4 linked regions of the Saccharomyces cerevisiae S288C genome follow. The gene in region 1 interacts genetically with each later gene. Each region holds a gene or a part of one and is shown in the gene's direction. Other genes may lie near its edges.

Evidence for each region.
Region 2: mutations in YKL069W (region 1) and PAH1 together harm fitness more than expected from each alone (negative genetic interaction), as found in Saccharomyces cerevisiae (2 studies listed by BioGRID).
Region 3: mutations in YKL069W (region 1) and PML39 together harm fitness more than expected from each alone (negative genetic interaction), as found in Saccharomyces cerevisiae (2 studies listed by BioGRID).
Region 4: mutations in YKL069W (region 1) and YDR131C together harm fitness more than expected from each alone (negative genetic interaction), as found in Saccharomyces cerevisiae (2 studies listed by BioGRID).

What each region holds. Positions count from the first base shown.
Region 1 is NC_001143.9:304,801-309,303, forward strand, and holds YKL069W (L-methionine (R)-S-oxide reductase), read left to right. Parts: upstream 1-2,484; coding exon 2,485-3,027; downstream 3,028-4,503. Other genes in the region: OSI1 (Osi1p), read left to right, coding at 314-1,084; YKL070W (uncharacterized protein), read left to right, coding at 1,411-1,920; YKL068W-A (uncharacterized protein), read left to right, coding at 4,406-4,503. UniProt on the Saccharomyces cerevisiae protein: Catalyzes the reversible oxidation-reduction of the R-enantiomer of free methionine sulfoxide to methionine. Does not act on S-enantiomer of free methionine sulfoxide or R-enantiomer of dabsylated methionine sulfoxide.
Region 2 is NC_001145.3:588,080-594,617, reverse strand, and holds PAH1 (phosphatidate phosphatase PAH1), read left to right. Parts: upstream 1-1,989; coding exon 1,990-4,578; downstream 4,579-6,538. Other genes in the region: MME1 (Mme1p), read left to right, coding at 145-1,251; MSS11 (Mss11p), read left to right, coding at 5,068-6,538. UniProt on the Saccharomyces cerevisiae protein: Mg(2+)-dependent phosphatidate (PA) phosphatase which catalyzes the dephosphorylation of PA to yield diacylglycerol. Required for de novo lipid synthesis and formation of lipid droplets.
Region 3 is NC_001145.3:53,732-58,931, reverse strand, and holds PML39 (Pml39p), read left to right. Parts: upstream 1-2,662; coding exon 2,663-3,667; downstream 3,668-5,200. Other genes in the region: RNA-binding signal recognition particle subunit SEC65, read left to right, coding at 245-1,066; orotate phosphoribosyltransferase URA5, read right to left, coding at 1,479-2,159; YML108W (uncharacterized protein), read right to left, coding at 3,822-4,139; ZDS2 (Zds2p), read right to left, coding at 4,464-5,200. UniProt on the Saccharomyces cerevisiae protein: Involved in the nuclear retention of improperly spliced pre-mRNAs.
Region 4 is NC_001136.10:715,334-720,989, reverse strand, and holds YDR131C (uncharacterized protein), read left to right. Parts: upstream 1-2,529; coding exon 2,530-4,200; downstream 4,201-5,656. Other genes in the region: MRX16 (Mrx16p), read left to right, coding at 687-2,174; FIN1 (Fin1p), read left to right, coding at 4,368-5,243; SAC6 (fimbrin), read left to right, coding at 5,611-5,631. UniProt on the Saccharomyces cerevisiae protein: Substrate recognition component of a SCF (SKP1-CUL1-F-box protein) E3 ubiquitin-protein ligase complex which mediates the ubiquitination and subsequent proteasomal degradation of target proteins. Probably recognizes and binds to phosphorylated target proteins.

The sequences.
Region 1 (4,503 bases):
ATCTTCGATTAACGTCCGCGGGTCTCATAAAAAGCAAACCAACTTCGCAATTCCCTAGAAATACCTCAATAGAAAGTTATTTGTAATGAGATTAGTAATGAGATTAGCAATGAGATTAGTAATGAGATTAGTAATGAGATTAGTAATGTGATTAGTAATGCATAGCGGTATAAATGGTAGTACTAATAAGTAAGATAGTATACCAGTTATAATAAATAGGCGGCGATGCTTCAAAACTAATTTTTGACGTTTTTAAGAATAAAGCCTTTACCAGTGGCATAAATCAGTAGAATTCTAAGCAAACAAAGTCGATATGAATACTTCATCAAGAATAACTTACTTTATCATCGGTGGTAGCCGTGGAATTGGTTTTAATTTGGTCAAAATTTTAAGCGCTTCTACGGGCAATACAGTTATAACCTCTATTCGTGGATCACCTTCATTACCCAAGAACAAACAAGTGGAAGATTTAGCAAAAATCAGGAAGAATATCCATATTGTCCAACTTGACCTTACAAAGGACGAAAGTATTGGCAATATTGCGGACGAGATCAAGAAAACGCCATTCTTCTTGGGTATTGATATTTTTATCGCATGTTCTGCAGTATCTGATTCTTATTACAAGGTCCTGGAAACTCCCAAATCAGTCTGGCTCAACCATTATAGCACAAACGCTCTGGGTCCGATACTAGCCCTTCAAAAAGTTTATCCACTGCTTCTTTTGAAAAAGACGAGGAAGATATTCTTTATCTCTAGTGTTGCAGGATCTATCAATGCGTTTGTACCACTTTCTGTTTCCGCTTATGGTCAATCGAAAGCTGCCTTGAATTATGCGGTAAAGACGCTCAGTTTTGAATTGAAACCGGAGGGTTTTACTGTCGTTGCTTTTCACCCAGGTATGGTATCTACTGATATGGGCCAATATGGCCTTGATCATTTTAAAGAGAAGAATATAGACATCAGCGGCGTAAATATTATCACACCAGAAGAAAGTGCCTCTGCGCTAATTGATGTCTTCCGAAAAATTTTACCAGAAGATAATGGAAAGTTCTTCAACTATGACGGCAGCGAAGGCGTCTTTTAGATAAGTGCAAATTTGGCTACTTATATACAACTCAGATACGGAATATACCTTTGTGTAATACACTTTTTTATTGGTAGGTGCTATATGATGTGACTTTGCTTTTGCCTCACGCCCCTTTAAGAAGGTATTTTGTGGCATCACTTTGTATGCTGATCTTTTAACGCTTAACCAGATTTGAAACTATCTCTATTATGTCCTCTGATTTTAATTAGGATGGTATATAACTGGTCCTAGAACCGAAGATTCTGCATATTCGCCGAAAACCATCCCTTAATATTATAGACATAAATTGCCAGTCTGAGAAGAATCCAAGAATCTATTTCATAATGTACATTCCTAAACATTTTGAGTCCATGGAACTCTCAAGGTACAAATTATCAAAAAAACCCCCGCTAGGAACACTATTCTCCTCTAAGGCTAGCAGGCAAGGTTTCTTCGGATGGAGAACTTCTTCCAATAAAGATGACCCCGATTTTGGTATGTGCGCATCACATATTCCATTTGTATTCGTGGAGTTCGATAATGGAGAGCATAAACTTATTGCACATTTAGCACGGAAGAATAAACATGTGGAAATGCTGGAAAGAGTTCAAAAATGCTTAGTGGTATTTCAGAGCGTCGATTCATACATTTCTCCGGCGTGGTTCCCAATGAAGAAAAAGACCCATAAGTTCGTACCAACATGGGATTTTGCCGCTGTGCACGTTTACGGTACACCAAGGATTATCCGCGACGATAAAGACTGGCTTATTAATATGTTATCAACTTTGACTGACCAAGAAGAAGAGAAAAGACCTGAGGGGGAAAATGTACGAAGTAAAGTGGAGCGTTTCTGATGCCCCAGATTATTATATCAATGCTATGCTTCAAAACATTGTCGGGCTTGAAATCAGTATTACCCATATTCAATCAAAGTTCAAATTCGACCAAAATAAATCACAGATTAATGTTGAAGGCATATGTTGAAAATTCAAAGAATTTGGTGGAGAAAGAGGCCAAGAAATGGCTCGCCTTGTAAAAGATAACTATCCAGGTAGCTTATAAGTTTTGTATTTTCTCTGCGCATTAAATATCAATAATTATTTATTCGTTTTCATTCTTTTCTTATCTTATCTTTTAATATTGACTTAACAGAGGGCAAGGCCCACCGTGATGCAGAAAGAACACAAACGCAAAGGTTTACCTATTCCCTGCAGTTAGAAAACCATGTTTGGAGGAAATGAAGAAAGATATTTACAGTTGAGTTTACAACGAAGTATTATCCTTTTTAACGAACGCTAATATCATCGGTTTCTTCATGTTTATATGATGACGATTTTCCCAAATGTAAGCAAACAAAGGCGTTTGCTGATAAAACAAATCCGTAAATTAGAAAAAAAAACAAAAAAAAACAAACAGATATGGGCTCATCAACCGGGTTTCATCATGCCGATCATGTTAACTATTCTTCAAATCTGAATAAGGAAGAAATTCTAGAACAGCTTCTGCTTTCATACGAGGGGCTATCAGATGGACAAGTCAATTGGGTTTGTAATTTGTCAAACGCTTCGTCATTGATCTGGCATGCGTACAAGTCATTAGCTGTTGATATCAATTGGGCTGGATTTTACGTTACTCAAGCTAGCGAAGAAAACACACTGATATTGGGCCCATTTCAAGGAAAGGTCGCTTGCCAAATGATTCAATTCGGTAAAGGTGTTTGCGGAACTGCAGCCTCTACAAAGGAAACGCAGATTGTTCCAGATGTCAACAAGTATCCCGGTCATATTGCGTGCGACGGTGAAACCAAGAGCGAAATTGTTGTTCCAATCATATCCAATGATGGTAAGACATTGGGCGTCATAGACATAGATTGTTTGGATTACGAAGGATTCGACCACGTAGACAAAGAATTCCTAGAAAAACTTGCTAAATTAATTAATAAATCATGTGTCTTTAAATAAGAGTTTTGAGAACGAACAAGTATTTACGCACATAACCAATATTCCCATGTAGCTCTCTTGTCAAATATATTGTCGGACGGGCACGAATAGAGATAAACATCAAGAAAGATTGAGGGGCTTCAGGAGATCATTGGTGAAGAAAACATTCCCTGTTCGCCAAATTGACAGCTCTCAATCTTTATTTGTAACCCTTATTGCAAATTTATGGCATGTTTACCCTCAAACAAAGGATATTCAGCATTTATTAAAAATATCTTTGCTTGGTAAGAAAAAAACGTCAACGAAAATGACGGAGATATCTGACGGAAAAAAAAATTGATTTCGCCCAGGATCGAACTGGGGACGTTCTGCGTGTTAAGCAGATGCCATAACCGACTAGACCACGAAACCACTTAATTGTTGAATAACGGACATCTAAAGTCATATCTATAGTGCAGCAAGTTCTTCTTCAGCTCACCCCAGTCTCGCTAAAGGCATGCTTACTTTGCCGTAAAGAAGAAAGGAACGTTCAAAATGTGTTTGATGCGTAACTGTGATGATTTTCTATCATTTACTTGCATGATATCGGTGAAAATTCTAGCTAGATTTATCAATGCATAGAAGCAGTAAGTGATGCCACAGATATGAGCTTTTCTCTGTGGCGAGGTCTTTGAGAAATTAAGTGGCTTGTACAGTTTTCACATGACGATTGGAAATGTTGAAAAAAGAGCCTAAAAATAGGCCTTATCGAACAACATTAAACTAATAATCTTCTGGATGCGATAGTCTTACTTGATAAAAATCATTGGCGATATTGTGTTACCTGGATTATCAAGCTCGCCACTAAAGGTGTCTGGATCCTTACTCAATACAAAGTCCAAGGAAAGGTGTGCCACAGGAAGAGGTAGCATCCCTTTATTTCTTTTCAAGGAAAGAAGCATTTTCAATCACATATGTATACAATAGTCTTCCGTGTGGCTGCACCGCACCACCTTGCAGGTCCCGTGTATGTAGGAGTCGCATGCGAATAAAAAATTGAGAAAGATCATGGGGTTTTTTGTTCACGCGGGCCGCAGTTGTGGCTCCTCTGTCACTTTTTTGCCCTCTGCTAAGGGCAAAAAAGAAAAAAAAACGCAACGAGAAAATTAAAAGTGTGGCATTTCGACATCTATCGCCATTCGTGCGGCCATTTCTCGAAACAACGCTAAACTTTTGTTTCGACTGTGAGGCCCTAGAACAGTTCGATTCTGATGTAGGCAATGGAAGAAACAATCATATATAACTACAGAACCTAATGTTACATGCTTGCATCTCTCAGCTCCCGCGAATTTTCAAGTGAGACTTAATGGTAGCCATCTAGTAACTCATAAATCAACGACATTATATATCATCAACTACAATGCAGGCAAACCATTCCGTCAGTTACCTTTACGAATCAAGTACTTCAAAGAGGTCAAATGGGCTCTTTTCTCAAACACAAAAGCAAGGAAGTTTTCA
Region 2 (6,538 bases), on another chromosome or scaffold:
CTCTAGGACCCTACAACGATAGCGACTTCTTACATTGTGTTCATTAATTTGAAAAAACATCAAAGCAAGCCGAAAACAAACGCTGAGTATTCTAACGAAGCACGCATAATAATCTTCACTTCCAACCGACTGGTATAAAAGATAATGAACTCATGGAACCTGAGTTCTTCAATACCGATAATACATACGCCTCATGACCATCCCCCGACATCAGAAGGAACTCCAGATCAACCAAATAATAACCGAAAAGATGATAAACTGCACAAAAAAAGAGGCGATTCAGATGAGGACTTAAGCCCTATATGGCATTGTGTCGTCTCCGGTGGGATTGGTGGAAAAATAGGAGATTCTGCGATGCATTCATTGGATACTGTTAAGACAAGACAACAGGGCGCACCCAATGTCAAAAAATACAGGAACATGATCTCTGCATATCGTACCATTTGGCTAGAAGAAGGCGTGAGAAGGGGGCTATACGGCGGTTACATGGCTGCCATGTTAGGCTCCTTCCCGTCAGCGGCAATCTTCTTTGGGACCTATGAATATACTAAGAGAACAATGATAGAAGATTGGCAGATTAACGATACCATCACACATTTGAGCGCTGGATTTCTTGGCGATTTTATCTCCAGTTTTGTTTATGTTCCATCAGAGGTCCTAAAGACAAGGCTACAATTGCAAGGAAGGTTCAATAATCCTTTCTTTCAATCTGGCTATAATTATTCGAATTTAAGAAATGCCATAAAGACAGTTATAAAAGAAGAAGGGTTTCGCTCACTATTTTTTGGATACAAAGCCACTTTAGCCAGAGATTTGCCATTTAGTGCATTGCAGTTTGCCTTCTACGAAAAGTTTAGGCAATTGGCTTTCAAGATTGAACAGAAAGATGGTAGGGATGGTGAGTTGTCTATACCTAATGAAATATTGACTGGTGCCTGTGCAGGTGGACTGGCGGGAATCATTACCACACCAATGGATGTTGTTAAGACTAGAGTCCAAACTCAACAGCCGCCCAGCCAAAGCAACAAATCATACTCAGTAACACATCCACATGTAACAAACGGCAGACCGGCAGCACTTTCCAACTCGATTTCGCTCAGCCTTCGGACGGTCTACCAATCTGAAGGTGTGTTAGGTTTCTTTAGTGGCGTTGGCCCTAGATTCGTCTGGACAAGTGTTCAGAGCAGTATAATGTTGCTTCTGTATCAAATGACCCTACGCGGATTAAGTAACGCATTTCCAACGGACTAAGAGCCTGATTTCTGGCTCATCTAACTCTCTAGAGGATAATTTTATGTGATAAAACTTTTCCTACAAGCGGCTACAATAAAGACAGTACAAGGGACCTCACCCTATTCGCCATCACTGCACATCACAGTGGGTCTTGTACTTATCATTTCACATACATAGATATAGGTTCTTCCGAATAAGTTTTGTATATAGTCATTTACGGCAAGAATACTCATCTAAGTTTAATACGCATTTCTCTCTTCGTTCGCAGTTCCTAACACTGAGCGTTCTTGTTTGGAGGGCTCGTTTAAAAAAAAGTCTAACAAATGTGACAGATTTGCTTGAACAGGGTCCAAACTCATCTTGTATATCATAACACTACATCACTGGGAGACAAAATCGAAGTGCCCACGTGCTGCTCATTCTCTAAACGGTCTGTCGCGGGCCCTTTTCGTCCTTCGGTTTCCCTCCCTTTAGACAATGGGCTCTCTTTTCTCTATTATCTATCTCTTTTTCTCGGCTTTTCCGGCCAGCGTTGAAAGCAGCGCACGGTGAGGGTAGAAGGAAGAGCAAGGACAAGTGAAGAGTAGGCCATCGTGGGGGCTTGTGTTTATAAAGAAAATACATTCAACAATTTAGTAAAACGTGTTCAAGAAGTGTTAATCAGACCAATTGGACACTACACCTTCGTAATCACAGTTTTACCTTCTAAGAAACATACAGGGAAGAAATTACTGAAGATAGACACATCGGTCGATTATGCAGTACGTAGGCAGAGCTCTTGGGTCTGTGTCTAAAACATGGTCTTCTATCAATCCGGCTACGCTATCAGGTGCTATAGATGTCATTGTAGTGGAGCATCCAGACGGAAGGCTATCATGTTCTCCCTTTCATGTGAGGTTCGGCAAATTTCAAATTCTAAAGCCATCTCAAAAGAAAGTCCAAGTGTTTATAAATGAGAAACTGAGTAATATGCCAATGAAACTGAGTGATTCTGGAGAAGCCTATTTCGTTTTCGAGATGGGTGACCAGGTCACTGATGTCCCTGACGAATTGCTTGTGTCGCCCGTGATGAGCGCCACATCAAGCCCCCCTCAATCACCTGAAACATCCATCTTAGAAGGAGGAACCGAGGGTGAAGGTGAAGGTGAAAATGAAAATAAGAAGAAGGAAAAGAAAGTGCTAGAGGAACCAGATTTTTTAGATATCAATGACACTGGAGATTCAGGCAGTAAAAATAGTGAAACTACAGGGTCGCTTTCTCCTACTGAATCCTCTACAACGACACCACCAGATTCAGTTGAAGAGAGGAAGCTTGTTGAGCAGCGTACAAAGAACTTTCAGCAAAAACTAAACAAAAAACTCACTGAAATCCATATACCCAGTAAACTTGATAACAATGGCGACTTACTACTAGACACTGAAGGTTACAAGCCAAACAAGAATATGATGCATGACACAGACATACAACTGAAGCAGTTGTTAAAGGACGAATTCGGTAATGATTCAGATATTTCCAGTTTTATCAAGGAGGACAAAAATGGCAACATCAAGATCGTAAATCCTTACGAGCACCTTACTGATTTATCTCCTCCAGGTACGCCTCCAACAATGGCCACAAGCGGATCAGTTTTAGGCTTAGATGCAATGGAATCAGGAAGTACTTTGAATTCGTTATCTTCTTCACCTTCTGGTTCCGATACTGAGGACGAAACATCATTTAGCAAAGAACAAAGCAGTAAAAGTGAAAAAACTAGCAAGAAAGGAACAGCAGGGAGCGGTGAGACCGAGAAAAGATACATACGAACGATAAGATTGACTAATGACCAGTTAAAGTGCCTAAATTTAACTTATGGTGAAAATGATCTGAAATTTTCCGTAGATCACGGAAAAGCTATTGTTACGTCAAAATTATTCGTTTGGAGGTGGGATGTTCCAATTGTTATCAGTGATATTGATGGCACCATCACAAAATCGGACGCTTTAGGCCATGTTCTGGCAATGATAGGAAAAGACTGGACGCACTTGGGTGTAGCCAAGTTATTTAGCGAGATCTCCAGGAATGGCTATAATATACTCTATCTAACTGCAAGAAGTGCTGGACAAGCTGATTCCACGAGGAGTTATTTGCGATCAATTGAACAGAATGGCAGCAAACTACCAAATGGGCCTGTGATTTTATCACCCGATAGAACGATGGCTGCGTTAAGGCGGGAAGTAATACTAAAAAAACCTGAAGTCTTTAAAATCGCGTGTCTAAACGACATAAGATCCTTGTATTTTGAAGACAGTGATAACGAAGTGGATACAGAGGAAAAATCAACACCATTTTTTGCCGGCTTTGGTAATAGGATTACTGATGCTTTATCTTACAGAACTGTGGGGATACCTAGTTCAAGAATTTTCACAATAAATACAGAGGGTGAGGTTCATATGGAATTATTGGAGTTAGCAGGTTACAGAAGCTCCTATATTCATATCAATGAGCTTGTCGATCATTTCTTTCCACCAGTCAGCCTTGATAGTGTCGATCTAAGAACTAATACTTCCATGGTTCCTGGCTCCCCCCCTAATAGAACGTTGGATAACTTTGACTCAGAAATTACTTCAGGTCGCAAAACGCTATTTAGAGGCAATCAGGAAGAGAAATTCACAGACGTAAATTTTTGGAGAGACCCGTTAGTCGACATCGACAACTTATCGGATATTAGCAATGATGATTCTGATAACATCGATGAAGATACTGACGTATCACAACAAAGCAACATTAGTAGAAATAGGGCAAATTCAGTCAAAACCGCCAAGGTCACTAAAGCCCCGCAAAGAAATGTGAGCGGCAGCACAAATAACAACGAAGTTTTAGCCGCTTCGTCTGATGTAGAAAATGCGTCTGACCTGGTGAGTTCCCATAGTAGCTCAGGATCCACGCCCAATAAATCTACAATGTCCAAAGGGGACATTGGAAAACAAATATATTTGGAGCTAGGTTCTCCACTTGCATCGCCAAAACTAAGATATTTAGACGATATGGATGATGAAGACTCCAATTACAATAGAACTAAATCAAGGAGAGCATCTTCTGCAGCCGCGACTAGTATCGATAAAGAGTTCAAAAAGCTCTCTGTGTCAAAGGCCGGCGCTCCAACAAGAATTGTTTCAAAGATCAACGTTTCAAATGACGTACATTCACTTGGGAATTCAGATACCGAATCACGAAGGGAGCAAAGTGTTAATGAAACAGGGCGCAATCAGCTACCCCACAACTCAATGGACGATAAAGATTTGGATTCAAGAGTAAGCGATGAATTCGATGACGATGAATTCGACGAAGATGAATTCGAAGATTAAAGATTCTTGTAGCCGAATATTATTTATAACGATCCATACTGCATATTAAGTAAAATTATGAAGTACTAAGTAACAATTTTTCAATTTTATTTAAGAAAAGAGAAGGAAAAAAAAAAGAAGAAAATTTTTTGATAGAAGAAAAAGGTAAACGATGATTGTTACGTACCAAGTGTTCTTCTGAGCTATTTGGTAATTACATACTTCTTCGAAATGTCAAGGTAAATACTTTTCTATACGCACACGAAACTCGCTTGCTGCAACAGGTATTACGTCAGGTGAAAAAAGCGGCCAAGAGGCAATGCCGAAATACAATGCGTGTATAACAGGAAGAGGAGGGGTATAATAAAATCACCATAGTAGAAAAGACCAGAAAGATTTCTATTGCAATCCTGTGTGACTCTTTTGGTTTTTCCCTTTGGTATCTCCCGGTTCTTTTGTCAATTTTTCGTTAAACTGCAGTGAAATAAGAAAAAGGTGCATGATAAAGATATGGATAACACGACCAATATTAATACAAATGAGCGCTCTAGTAACACGGATTTTAGCTCAGCTCCCAATATCAAAGGTTTGAATAGCCATACTCAGTTGCAGTTTGATGCGGATTCTCGAGTTTTCGTTTCGGATGTAATGGCTAAGAACTCTAAGCAATTATTGTACGCCCATATTTATAACTATTTAATCAAAAACAATTACTGGAACTCTGCCGCAAAATTTTTAAGCGAAGCTGACCTTCCTTTATCTAGAATAAACGGATCTGCTTCGGGTGGGAAAACTAGCTTGAACGCCAGCCTGAAGCAGGGATTAATGGATATTGCATCTAAGGGTGACATTGTTAGTGAAGATGGGCTATTACCTTCGAAAATGCTGATGGACGCTAATGACACGTTTTTACTGGAATGGTGGGAAATTTTTCAATCATTGTTCAATGGAGACCTAGAATCTGGGTACCAACAGGATCATAATCCTTTAAGAGAGAGAATAATACCAATTTTGCCAGCTAATTCTAAATCTAATATGCCTTCCCATTTCTCTAATCTCCCACCAAATGTGATTCCACCAACTCAAAATAGTTTTCCAGTTTCAGAGGAGAGTTTTAGGCCCAATGGTGACGGAAGTAACTTTAATTTAAACGATCCAACCAATCGAAACGTCTCCGAAAGATTTCTATCGAGAACTTCCGGTGTCTACGACAAACAGAATAGCGCTAATTTTGCACCTGATACTGCTATAAACAGTGATATTGCTGGGCAGCAGTACGCAACTATAAATCTACATAAACACTTCAATGATTTGCAATCACCAGCACAGCCCCAGCAATCATCTCAACAGCAGATCCAGCAGCCTCAGCATCAACCCCAGCATCAACCGCAACAGCAACAGCAACAGCAACAACAACAACAACAACAGCAACAGCAACAGCAACAGCAACAGCAGCAACAGCAACAGCAACAGCAACAACATCAACAGCAGCAACAGACACCGTATCCTATTGTCAACCCACAAATGGTCCCTCATATTCCATCGGAAAATTCTCATTCAACCGGACTTATGCCTTCAGTGCCTCCTACAAATCAACAATTTAATGCACAAACCCAATCTTCAATGTTTTCAGACCAGCAGCGCTTCTTTCAATATCAATTACACCACCAAAATCAAGGACAGGCGCCATCTTTTCAGCAAAGCCAATCTGGCAGGTTTGATGACATGAACGCTATGAAAATGTTTTTTCAGCAGCAAGCACTACAGCAAAATTCACTACAGCAAAATCTTGGAAATCAAAATTATCAATCTAATACACGTAACAATACTGCGGAAGAAACTACGCCCACAAATGACAATAACGCAAATGGCAATAGTTTATTGCAAGAACACATACGAGCCCGCTTCAATAAGATGAAAACAATTCCTCAACAAATGAAAAATCAAAGCACTGTCGCAAATCCGGTTGTTAGTGATATAA
Region 3 (5,200 bases), on another chromosome or scaffold:
ACTTGACTAAGTACCGAACAATCTAAAAAAAAAAGTGTAATTGTCACAATAGCAAATAAATTGGTACACTTCTTCAGCCGCTTTAAAAATTGTGTACTTCTTCTTAAAACAATTGGGAAGTATTTATTTTTCACGCTTTTGTAATCTGAAAAAAAAAAAAATATCAATGATATTCAACAGGCTAGCAACTAACGAAATCAAAAGAAATAAAATAAGCCATAAGCTATAGTATCATAAAGTCAAAATGCCTAGATTAGAAGAGATTGACGATTTCAATGATATCGACGACCTTGATATGGAATTGGCCGAGTTAGATCCATCTTTGAGGACGCCGATCGCTCCCAAGATAACGCCTAAGGTTGTAAGGAGCCAGGACCAAGAGAACCCTGCATTTTTACCTGGCACGAATAACAACAGTAATAGCAACAACAATAGTAGCAACGAAAAAGAGCAGTTGAGTTTTATTAACCCAAAAACTGGTAAGGTTGAACGTTCGGAGGCTATTTCGAAGAAAGATTTAGAAGAAGTCAAAAGATTCCAAGTACTCTATCCATGTTACTTTGACATAAACAGATCACATAAGGAAGGGAGAAGGGTTCCTAAGGAGTTGGCTGTTGAAAATCCTTTGGCTAAAACTATGGCAGATGCTGTCCGTGAATTGGGAATATTATGCATTTTTGAAGGTGAAAAATGTCACCCACAAGATTTTGGTAATCCTGGTAGAATTCGTGTACTTTTCAAAGAAAATGGACAATTAATTGGCGCAGCCACTAAATTCAAAGGTGGAAAGAGGCAATTAATGAAAGCTGTTGGGGAGTATATGAAAAGACATCCAACTACTATTGAATCTTTAAGGGAGATTCCATATGGCCCTGATTTCGACAATATTGAATTCAAAAAGATTCCACGTGTAAAGGGATTCAAAATGAATGAGATTGTTCCGCTGCATAGTCCGTTCTTGATGGGCCACCCAATGACAAAATCTGTTTACGAAACTCCTAAGATTACAGCGGCAGAAAAGTCGTTCAAGCCACCAAAAAATAAGTACAAAGTAGTTAGAAGATGATTGTCTCCTTTACCCATTTATGTATATGTATATGTATATTGAGATTAATATATTAATATATTAATAGATTATAATAGCAGAACTATAAGAATATGATGTTTGTTCAGATCAAGTGCTAAATGACTTGTTGTATCAGCTTTTAAATTTTTACATCAAGACAAATCAATTATTCGTATTATTTCGTCTGTAGTTGAAACAGAGTTCAATAAGCCAAGAGTTTTGAAGCAGCTACAGGCAAGAGGTACCGAAACACAGAAAAAAGTAACAAGAAAACTCTCTCGCTCTATATATATGTGTGTGAATATACGCTATTTATACACATATATAGATGAGCGGCGTGCATGTATCGTAGTAACTAAGATTAATAGTTCTTAAAAGAGATAAATAAATCATTTAATTAAAAAACTGATTTTTAAGCGGAGGCACCGTAGGTTTGAAGGTATTGTTCGATCTTGCTTTTCTCTTCTGCTGTTATTCTGCCTTCCAAATAGGTAATTATGTGAATTAAGGAGACAATGCTCAAGACTGGGATACCGTATTTTTTGCTAACAGTTTGAGTGGCGCTGAGTCCTTCTTTATCGTCAGTACTCACAACTTCCTGTCTATCAAGAGCAATTATGGAGCCAACTACCTGACCCTTGGCGTTACTGATGATCTCAAAGGCCTCGTTAATGGCAGTACCAGCAGTCATGACGTCGTCGATGATTAATATTCTCTTGTTCTCTAGGGCAGAGCCGACAATGATACCACCTTCACCATGATCTTTGGCTTCCTTTCTGTTAAAAGCGTACTGAATGTTTTGAAATTTAGAGCCACCAATCTCCGCCAATTTCACACAAACAATAGCAGCAAGTGGGATACCTTTGTAGGCAGGACCGAAAATCACATCAAATTTCAAATCAGATTGTATGATGGCAATTGCATACGCAGTAGCCAAATTGGAAAGCAATTTACCAGTATTGAACAATCCCAAATTAAAGAAATATGGCGATTCTCTACCTGATTTCAACTTGAATGAACCAAATCTTAGAGCCTGGCATTCGATGGCCAACTCTAGAAAGTTCTTTTGGTAGTCTTCCAACATAATAGGCATTTTGAATAACTTTCTTAATCTTTAATTTTTTTGTGTATCCTTCATACAATGTCAGACACAATAATACGCAACCAAAATTCCGTTAGTAGTATATCGCAGAAGTAATGCTTTATGGAAATTTTGAATGAATCTTATTTGACAAATAAAAGCCTGTTAATAATAAGAAGTGTCTTTATTCAAAAAAGGAACGTAAAGTTGGAACAATGATTGAAATACCCCACAAAATTCTCCCAAAAAAAAAAAGACAAAATGCAATTTCCTTTTGAAATGTATTCAAAAAATAAATTTGTTAAAAACCTCTGATTGATGATGAGATCAAACTACCAAACAATTGTTATCAAATCAAAATGCTCTTTGTTTTGCTTATTGAATATGGAAAATGTTTGAAAAATTTTCAAGCGCTAGTCATTCGGAACGAAAGTAACTGTCATCTTGAAATCTATGGTAAAGGAGAAATAAAACATTATTCCCCAGGAATTGACAGGAAAGTAGGGCAGTTACTAATGGAAAAGGACGCATTGGAGGTTAGACTGAAGTCTATTAGACATTCGCTGGACAAGAATACCAAACTTTTACCGGGAAAATATAGGAATACTCTAGGAGAGCGACTTATTACCAAATGGAGGTACAAGAAGAAATCCCATAATGGCAGTTCAATGTTGCCTGAAAAATGTAAGAGCCACGTGCAATTGTATGATGATTTGGTACAAGAAAGCTCTAAACATTTTGTTGGTTTCCGATTACACGATCTTCGGGCCTTGTTGAAAAGAATATGCTCCATTCAAAACTACACAAGGCATGTGCTCATTGAATGGGACGTTCGATGGGTCAATCCACTGACTCTAGCATCCAAGGGCTGGGAGCCGTACCAAAGTGCATCCCAGTCGCAAGTGCCATTTAAGTGCTGTTGTTGCCATGCCATTATGACAATTCCTTTATTAAAAAATGGCGATGATGTCGCCGATTACACCATGAAATTGAATGAAAAAATCTGGAATTCCAATATAATTGGAAATCATCTCCAAAAGTGTCCGTGGAGGGAAAATCAGGTTGATTTAAACAAAGAGTATTATTTAAGCTCACAAAACCTTATAAGGGAAATTGAAAGAATTCATACAGAAATTGACAGAATTGTTTCCGGATCAAATGAATTTAGCCTTAAAAGAAACTCTTCCCGTATATTTCATTACTTGTCTGAGAAAGAAATACAAAAATTGGCATTTTTTTTCGATTGTAAAGACTATTCTCTCGTAGGTCTGTTGCTTCTCGGCTACACGAAATTCCAGAAGGATGATCTGGTTCAATGCACGGCTTGCTTTCATCGAGCATCCCTGAAGAAGTTAGAATATACAGAATTTAACGGACACGCTCTATGGTGTCGGTATTACAACAAAGAGTTGTTGCCCACAATGTTGCTGGAGTTAATCGGCAAGGAGGACAAACTAATAACGAAATTGGGCGTGGGAGAAAGACTAAATAAATTAGAGGCTGTTCTACAAACTTTATAAATTAGATGTAATACATTATCCAAATTCTCATATGCTTGTATATGCCCCCATGCTGATGCGCAGATTCTGTCACTCTCTCTTTAAATTACGTGCACATATGCATACGCAACAGTCACGTTATATTCATGCAAAAAACCGAAGCAACATCATTATTTCAGTTATTCTCTTCGACAAATTTCTTTACTTTTTCGACAACCTCTTCAATTTCCTTATCTAGCATAAGTACAATTAAACCATCGCTACTAATTTCGTATTTGATATGACCTTCGTTCGGTATACATATTTCGGCATCGAACTTATCAAACCAGGTATTTAATTCGTCCAGTTCGTCAACATTAAATGGAAGTATCAACTCGTCAACAAATTCATGCATTTTTCCCGGCTTACCTTTCAAAAATTTTTCATCTTCTTTATTTATCTTGGTGTCGTCTTCTAGTAAGACGAGCATCCTATAAGTATTACTCTTGGACATTTCGTTTTTCTCTTTCGTCTTAGTGTAGTACGAGATAGAATTCAACCGCAAGGTAGCCTTGCTGTATTGGACAGATCATTCGAATTTGTTCCAAATAGGATGAGATGAGGTCGGCTTTTCTTCATTCTCGCTAGAAAATTTAAAAAAAAAGAAAAAAATAATTACATAAATATATATTTATATGTATATACTGTAGTCCTTCCTTGCATGAAAAGACGACGTTTTTCGTGATAATAAGAAGTTTGACACTAAAAGGGCATCCTTACAATACTTGAAATATGTGGCCTTATATAGGTATCTATCAATCTTGTAAACAGTTATGAGTTAAATGTCTGGAATTAAGATTGTGCCATCAGAATCATTTTTGTCCATCATTCCCAAGGCAGAATCACCATTGAAGGCTATATCTCCAGTGCCCACCTGCTCCATGTATAAGGTATGATTGACTAAATTCAAGTAGGAGTACATGAAGTTACTTAGCAATACTTGTTGTCTTAATTCCCTCCCGGGATCGCTAAGCTTCAGATGGCTGAGTCTGTAAATAGCCCTTTCAACATTAATTCCTAGACGATGGTCAAACATAATCACTGTAGAGTTGGTTATCATTGGTAATGGGAATCCAAAAGCACTGTCTGTGAATTTTATTGGAGCGTTTGAGTAATCTGGTTTAACGACATCTTCAAATGTCAATTTTCTTGGAGGCAAAGTTGAGATTTGAGGGGCAGTAGGTGAAGTGTTGTCTTCTCTCTCTGCTCCTATATCCTCTTCTAGTCCAGCTGTCGTATCTCTACTGATACTAGAGTGCACTTCGACGTCGTAGTTTACATCACCACCACTAATATCAAATGAATCGTCGCCATCTAACTCGCTTATAGTTTCCACCACAAATTCAGAACTGTGGCTAGTATGGCTGTCAGGAAGAAGGGTGGAAGCATTTGAACTTCTCACTTCTGGTTCAATGACGCTTGCTGTATCTATATCTTCGGTGGTAATTGTTTTGGTGGGGGATGAAGGGCGTTCAACTTCCGCTTCTTGGGGCTTTTTCTTGGGACTTTTCCTGA
Region 4 (5,656 bases), on another chromosome or scaffold:
TATTTCAATTAATAAGATATTCTGGTAATTTCTTATTCTAATTCTAGGAGGCAACACTCCATAACTAAATGTTTATTATAATAATATTAATATAAAGTTAATATCTCTTAGGTTACACGCAACTAAACTTTTTTTATATATACTGGTTGCATTGTATTTTTATCATATATCTTAATATAGGTTGTTTAAGGTTCGTTAATTCAAAAATAATGTTTTTTTGTTTGCCCAGTCGGTTTACGCTAATCAAGAACATGGATTCAATATCTTACATAATAAGCGGACGATGAGTCTATCTCGGTTTCCTCTTTTCTGAAATATAATAGTTTTATATTAGTGATTCATTATTACGATCTGGCCGGCTTATCATTGCTTCTTTTACAAACGTATCCTTTTAAGATTTTATCCGGACCACTGAGCTGGCATTTTTCTTAGCTTGCTTTTGTCTTTGTTGCACGGGCGACTGAACTTCTTGGAAAATCATGTAAGCCGCAATTGCTTACTAAGTCAAAATTCTAATGGATTCTCCTCTCGAATAAAATTGAATAGTCTGAGCAGTGAAAAAAATGTATATCTTATGTGTGAATGTTATATACCATAATCTAACGAAAGATAGCGAATTAAAGACCGGTCTGTGGCACTCGTAAATATTACCAACAAAGAAAGTTCCCAATATAATCATATAGAAAATGTCAAATTCTCCAACAGTAGCAACTTTGTCACAAGAATATTTCGATCCGAATATTCCTCAAATACTCCCACACGAGAAAATGTATAAGATTCAGGTGGGGAAATCATTATTCAAAATCAGCGGTGCTTCTTTAAGCTCGGATGGTCCTAGTTTCTTCACCGAATATTTTTCTAAGAAGCGCTCTCCTTCCAATAACGATGACAGTAATAACGATACCATGGAATCTAATAAAAATGAGGTTCTATTCATAGACAGATCAGCCGAAGTTTTTGAATGGATCTATCAACATTTGCAAGGATATATAATTGAGATTAAGGATGAAGTACAATATACCATGCTTTTCGCAGATGCGATGTACTACAATTTACCGCGATTGCGATCTTTACTGAAAGAAACGGACTATTATTTTACCAACATTGGTGGACAATCATTCAAGATAGCGAAAAATTTATTTAGAAGAGAAGGAGATTCCCCAAATTATTTCGAAATATATGCGGCTACAGTTTATATCGATGTGGAAGAGCTGATAATATCTAAAAAACTATTAAGGCCTCCATCTCATTCTGCTCCTTACATTCCAAGATCTTCTGAGTACTTCAAAGATTTGCTGACGTTACTGGGAGGAGCATCCATCGATCTAGATGATAATAAAAGAAATGCCTTGATAAAAGAGTGCCGTTATTACAGGCTTTTAAATCTCGAACAGCGGCTAATCAAATCTCATATTAGCTATAACCCAATAACAAGGAAAGAAGAGATTTGCCTCCTATTGAAGGATTTGTCAAAAAAAGGCATCACTTTTCCAGCTTCTTCTGCATTTTCAACCTCGCCCTACTTTGAAGACGATTTCTGTAGCATAAATGAATGCGACTCGCTATCAAAAACCCGTGAACAGCCAGCAAATAAAAAGATTAAACTTGACATGACTGAAAAATATAACGATTCCTGGAATATGCTTTGTTATAAGAGACCTTTTTTAGATAAGCATCCGAGAGAGTTGATATTTCAAATAAATTCGACTGATTGTACGATAATCCTCAATAAGGAAAGCCAAAGTATCCATGTAGACATAACTGGAGAATCCGCCTATAAGTTTGAGGCCTTATTTGGAAGTCATTTGCCAAATACACCCTCTGGTGCGCCTAAGTTGAAAAATTACCAGTATCGGTTCCCATCCGATAGTACGCAGACGAAAATTGAAACTCATTATTTACTTCCAGCATGCATATATCTCTGTGATTTGGACATAAACGGCATTAAGATTTCTCAAGTTCAAACTTTGCTAACTGATAAAAATAAATTCAATGACAGGGTCATTGACGTGTCTGATCCACTTGACCTTAGATTTTGTTCTGGTTTAAAGCTTTACTTAAGAAAGTCTCTCTGGAAACTGGCCGTGAAAGATGGCAATATTATGCTGATAGCTATTAAAGCTATAGCATTTAACGGAACTAAGGAATACTACAAGGGATATGAATATCTGTAGGATTAGCTTGATAAAATTACTCTTCTGCCAAGCTTTTAAGTATATGTATGCTCTCCGTTGTATTTTTTATATGCCATTATAGTACTTGAAGTATAACGGAAACCCATTGTAACTCACATTCCTGTAGTAGCTTCTTTTCTTACTTTTTGTAGGCTCTTGTCTCTTTTCTCTTGTTATTTATCAGTTAATATGTAAGAAAAAAATCGACTTCGGGAATTAGGATACAGACACCTCTTAAAACCAGAGATAAAGTAACGTAGAGAAAATAGTAGGATAATGTGTGCAAAAAGAAGAAACTTTGGTGTCTTAAAATAGATAAAAATAACCCTACTGCCAATTTGAAAGGGCCCGAAAAATGTTTGATAAGTTACCTTATGAGATTTTTAAACAAATTGCCTGGAGAATTCCGCAGGAAGATAAAATTTCGTTAACATATGTATGCAAAAGATCCTATGAATCAATTATACCTTTCATCTACCAGAATTTATTTCTTAATGAAACCTATCACATCAATGGTGACTATGATAACTCATTTGGAACCTGTTATTGGTCTGTCCTAAACTTTCACTACATAGATGAAGATGATTCCAATACTAAAAACGACATGTCGAATAGAAGACTAGCTAAAGTGAAATTTAGTTATTTCGAAAGAACATTAGCAGAGTCACCGAAAAGATTATGTCCCTTAATTAATCGAATACGTTGTACATGGCATTTAAATGAAGATGTGATGACAAATGTACTTAAATTGCTATCCGAGTATGGATCCAATTTGAAATTTGTCGATCAATTTGTTCGCTCATCAGTTAACAAGGGGCTAGAACCTTTATCAAAGCAATTAAAAACTCTAACATTAACGCCACCAACGTTAATGCCCACCCATAACAGTGTAAGCGGTTCTTATTTGAATAAAATTGATCGGTTGCTCTTGAAGTGCGATCTATCTCGATTAGAAAAACTTTCCATTCATATAAACGCATTGAAGTACTTCAAAAATACCGGGTCTCCTATGAAGATCAAAGCATTGGTATTAAATTTGCGACCCGACACACTTAACCTTGCGGAGTACGACGCTTCCGATGACTTCTTAAAAGAGCTAGAATACATCGACATATTTGATGCTTCCACCTTAAGGCAGCTAGAGATTTTGTCTTGGTACAGTCGCGACGATTTTCCCTCTGGCGAAGAAGGTGGTTTTGACAGGTTATATGTCAAATGGGGGCTAGAAGGATTTTGGAAATTTCCGAACATTGAGAAACTATCATTAGCGTCATTGGTTTACAGCGAATTTTTTCTAATGAATTGTTTGGCTGTGTTTCACAATTTAAAGATACTGAAACTTGATTACATGGGTAAATTTGACTTCGATGTGTCGTTGATTAACTTCTTATCTAAACAAGTGTGTGGCAAAAAATTACAGCGTTTTGACATACACTGCCAACTAAATCACAGGCTTTTTTTTCCCATGACAGATAACCCACTAACTCGCTTGAATTTCGATGGTTTCTGCCCTTGTTCAACTTGCAAAAATACAATTCACGAGGTCATTCTAAAAAAAATCTTTCCTGAAACCCGGTCAAAACTTTTAAAGAACCCAAATAAGTTCCAAGCCCATAATTTCTTTTACCAAATGTTTTTCGAGAACAAGATCATGCCCTATACAAACATTATTGACAACGAATCACCTGCGATGGGATGGGATTCTGTACCTATTGAAACGTTTGTACGAAAGTTCAATGAAAATCTGCAAAGCACCATAGAAAATACTGAGAATATTACAGTGAATAAAATTACTAGAGAAGATGCCATTAGTTTGTACCACTTATACCTTCATTATCTAAAAGACGTATTTAAAGTTTTTGAGCAAAGTTTGCCGAACTTAGAATATCTAACCATCAACGGTATACCTACAAAAATAATACAAGTGGACGAGTTACAACGATGCGCGGTTCCCCTCTTCTATAATAATGGCTATAAAAGCAACTCTGTTTATGAATTGGTGGACGCAGAAGCTCTATTTAGTTGATACTGTGAGACATGGCGGTTATAACACGTACATAATGATATATACTCTAAATACTGCAAATTGTCAACAAGAGGAAATCAAAACAAATGGATTGTATAGTCTAGTTAGAGCTTTCTCAGTGTTCTCACTGGATTGCAGTGATGTGACATAGTTCAATAAAACAAATTATGAGCAATAAAAGCAACCGCAGGAGTTTACGTGACATAGGGAATACGATTGGTCGAAATAATATACCAAGTGACAAGGACAATGTCTTTGTGAGATTGAGTATGTCCCCTTTGAGGACGACAAGCCAAAAAGAGTTTTTGAAACCACCTATGAGGATATCACCTAACAAGACAGATGGAATGAAGCATAGTATACAAGTAACACCAAGAAGGATTATGTCGCCGGAATGTCTGAAGGGCTATGTCTCTAAGGAAACTCAAAGCCTGGATAGGCCTCAGTTCAAAAATTCGAATAAAAATGTGAAGATCCAAAACTCAGATCATATAACTAATATAATATTCCCTACATCACCAACCAAACTGACATTCAGTAATGAAAATAAAATCGGGGGTGATGGTTCGTTAACGAGAATACGGGCCCGGTTTAAGAATGGACTCATGTCACCTGAAAGGATACAGCAGCAACAGCAGCAACATATTCTCCCATCGGATGCCAAAAGCAACACTGACCTCTGTTCTAATACTGAGCTCAAGGACGCCCCATTTGAGAATGACCTTCCTCGAGCTAAATTGAAAGGGAAGAATTTATTAGTTGAACTCAAGAAAGAAGAGGAAGACGTGGGAAATGGCATAGAATCCCTTACTAAATCGAACACTAAACTGAATTCCATGCTGGCGAACGAAGGTAAGATACACAAAGCTAGTTTCCAGAAAAGTGTAAAATTTAAACTACCTGATAATATAGTGACTGAAGAAACCGTGGAACTTAAAGAAATAAAGGACTTGCTACTACAAATGTTGAGAAGACAGCGAGAGATTGAATCAAGATTATCCAATATCGAACTTCAACTCACGGAAATACCGAAACATAAGTAATCATATCCCTTCTCACATTTTTTACACAGGAAGTAAGCAAGTTATGTTATATTTCCGACACTATAATTAATTCTTAGCAGTTAAAGGTGCTTTGTCTATATTACATTTACATACAGCTTGAGTGATCCTGACCGGATATAGGGTCCTATTTTCTTACGTGAACGGCTTTTCTTCTTGTTCCCGATGGCCTTCATGTGAAAAAGCACTCCTCGGGAGGCGGAAAAATATCAAAAGTACGGGGCGAAGTTTATAATGAAGATTTATCGATATAAATTTTGGTTATTTCAGGAGAACAAGAAAGCTCTTTACACTAAAATTATCAGAGAAGAAGCTGATATATTAGCCCTAAGGAGTACACCAAAACACAATGAATATTGTCAAATTACAAGTATGTATGCCTTTCTCGAATTCCC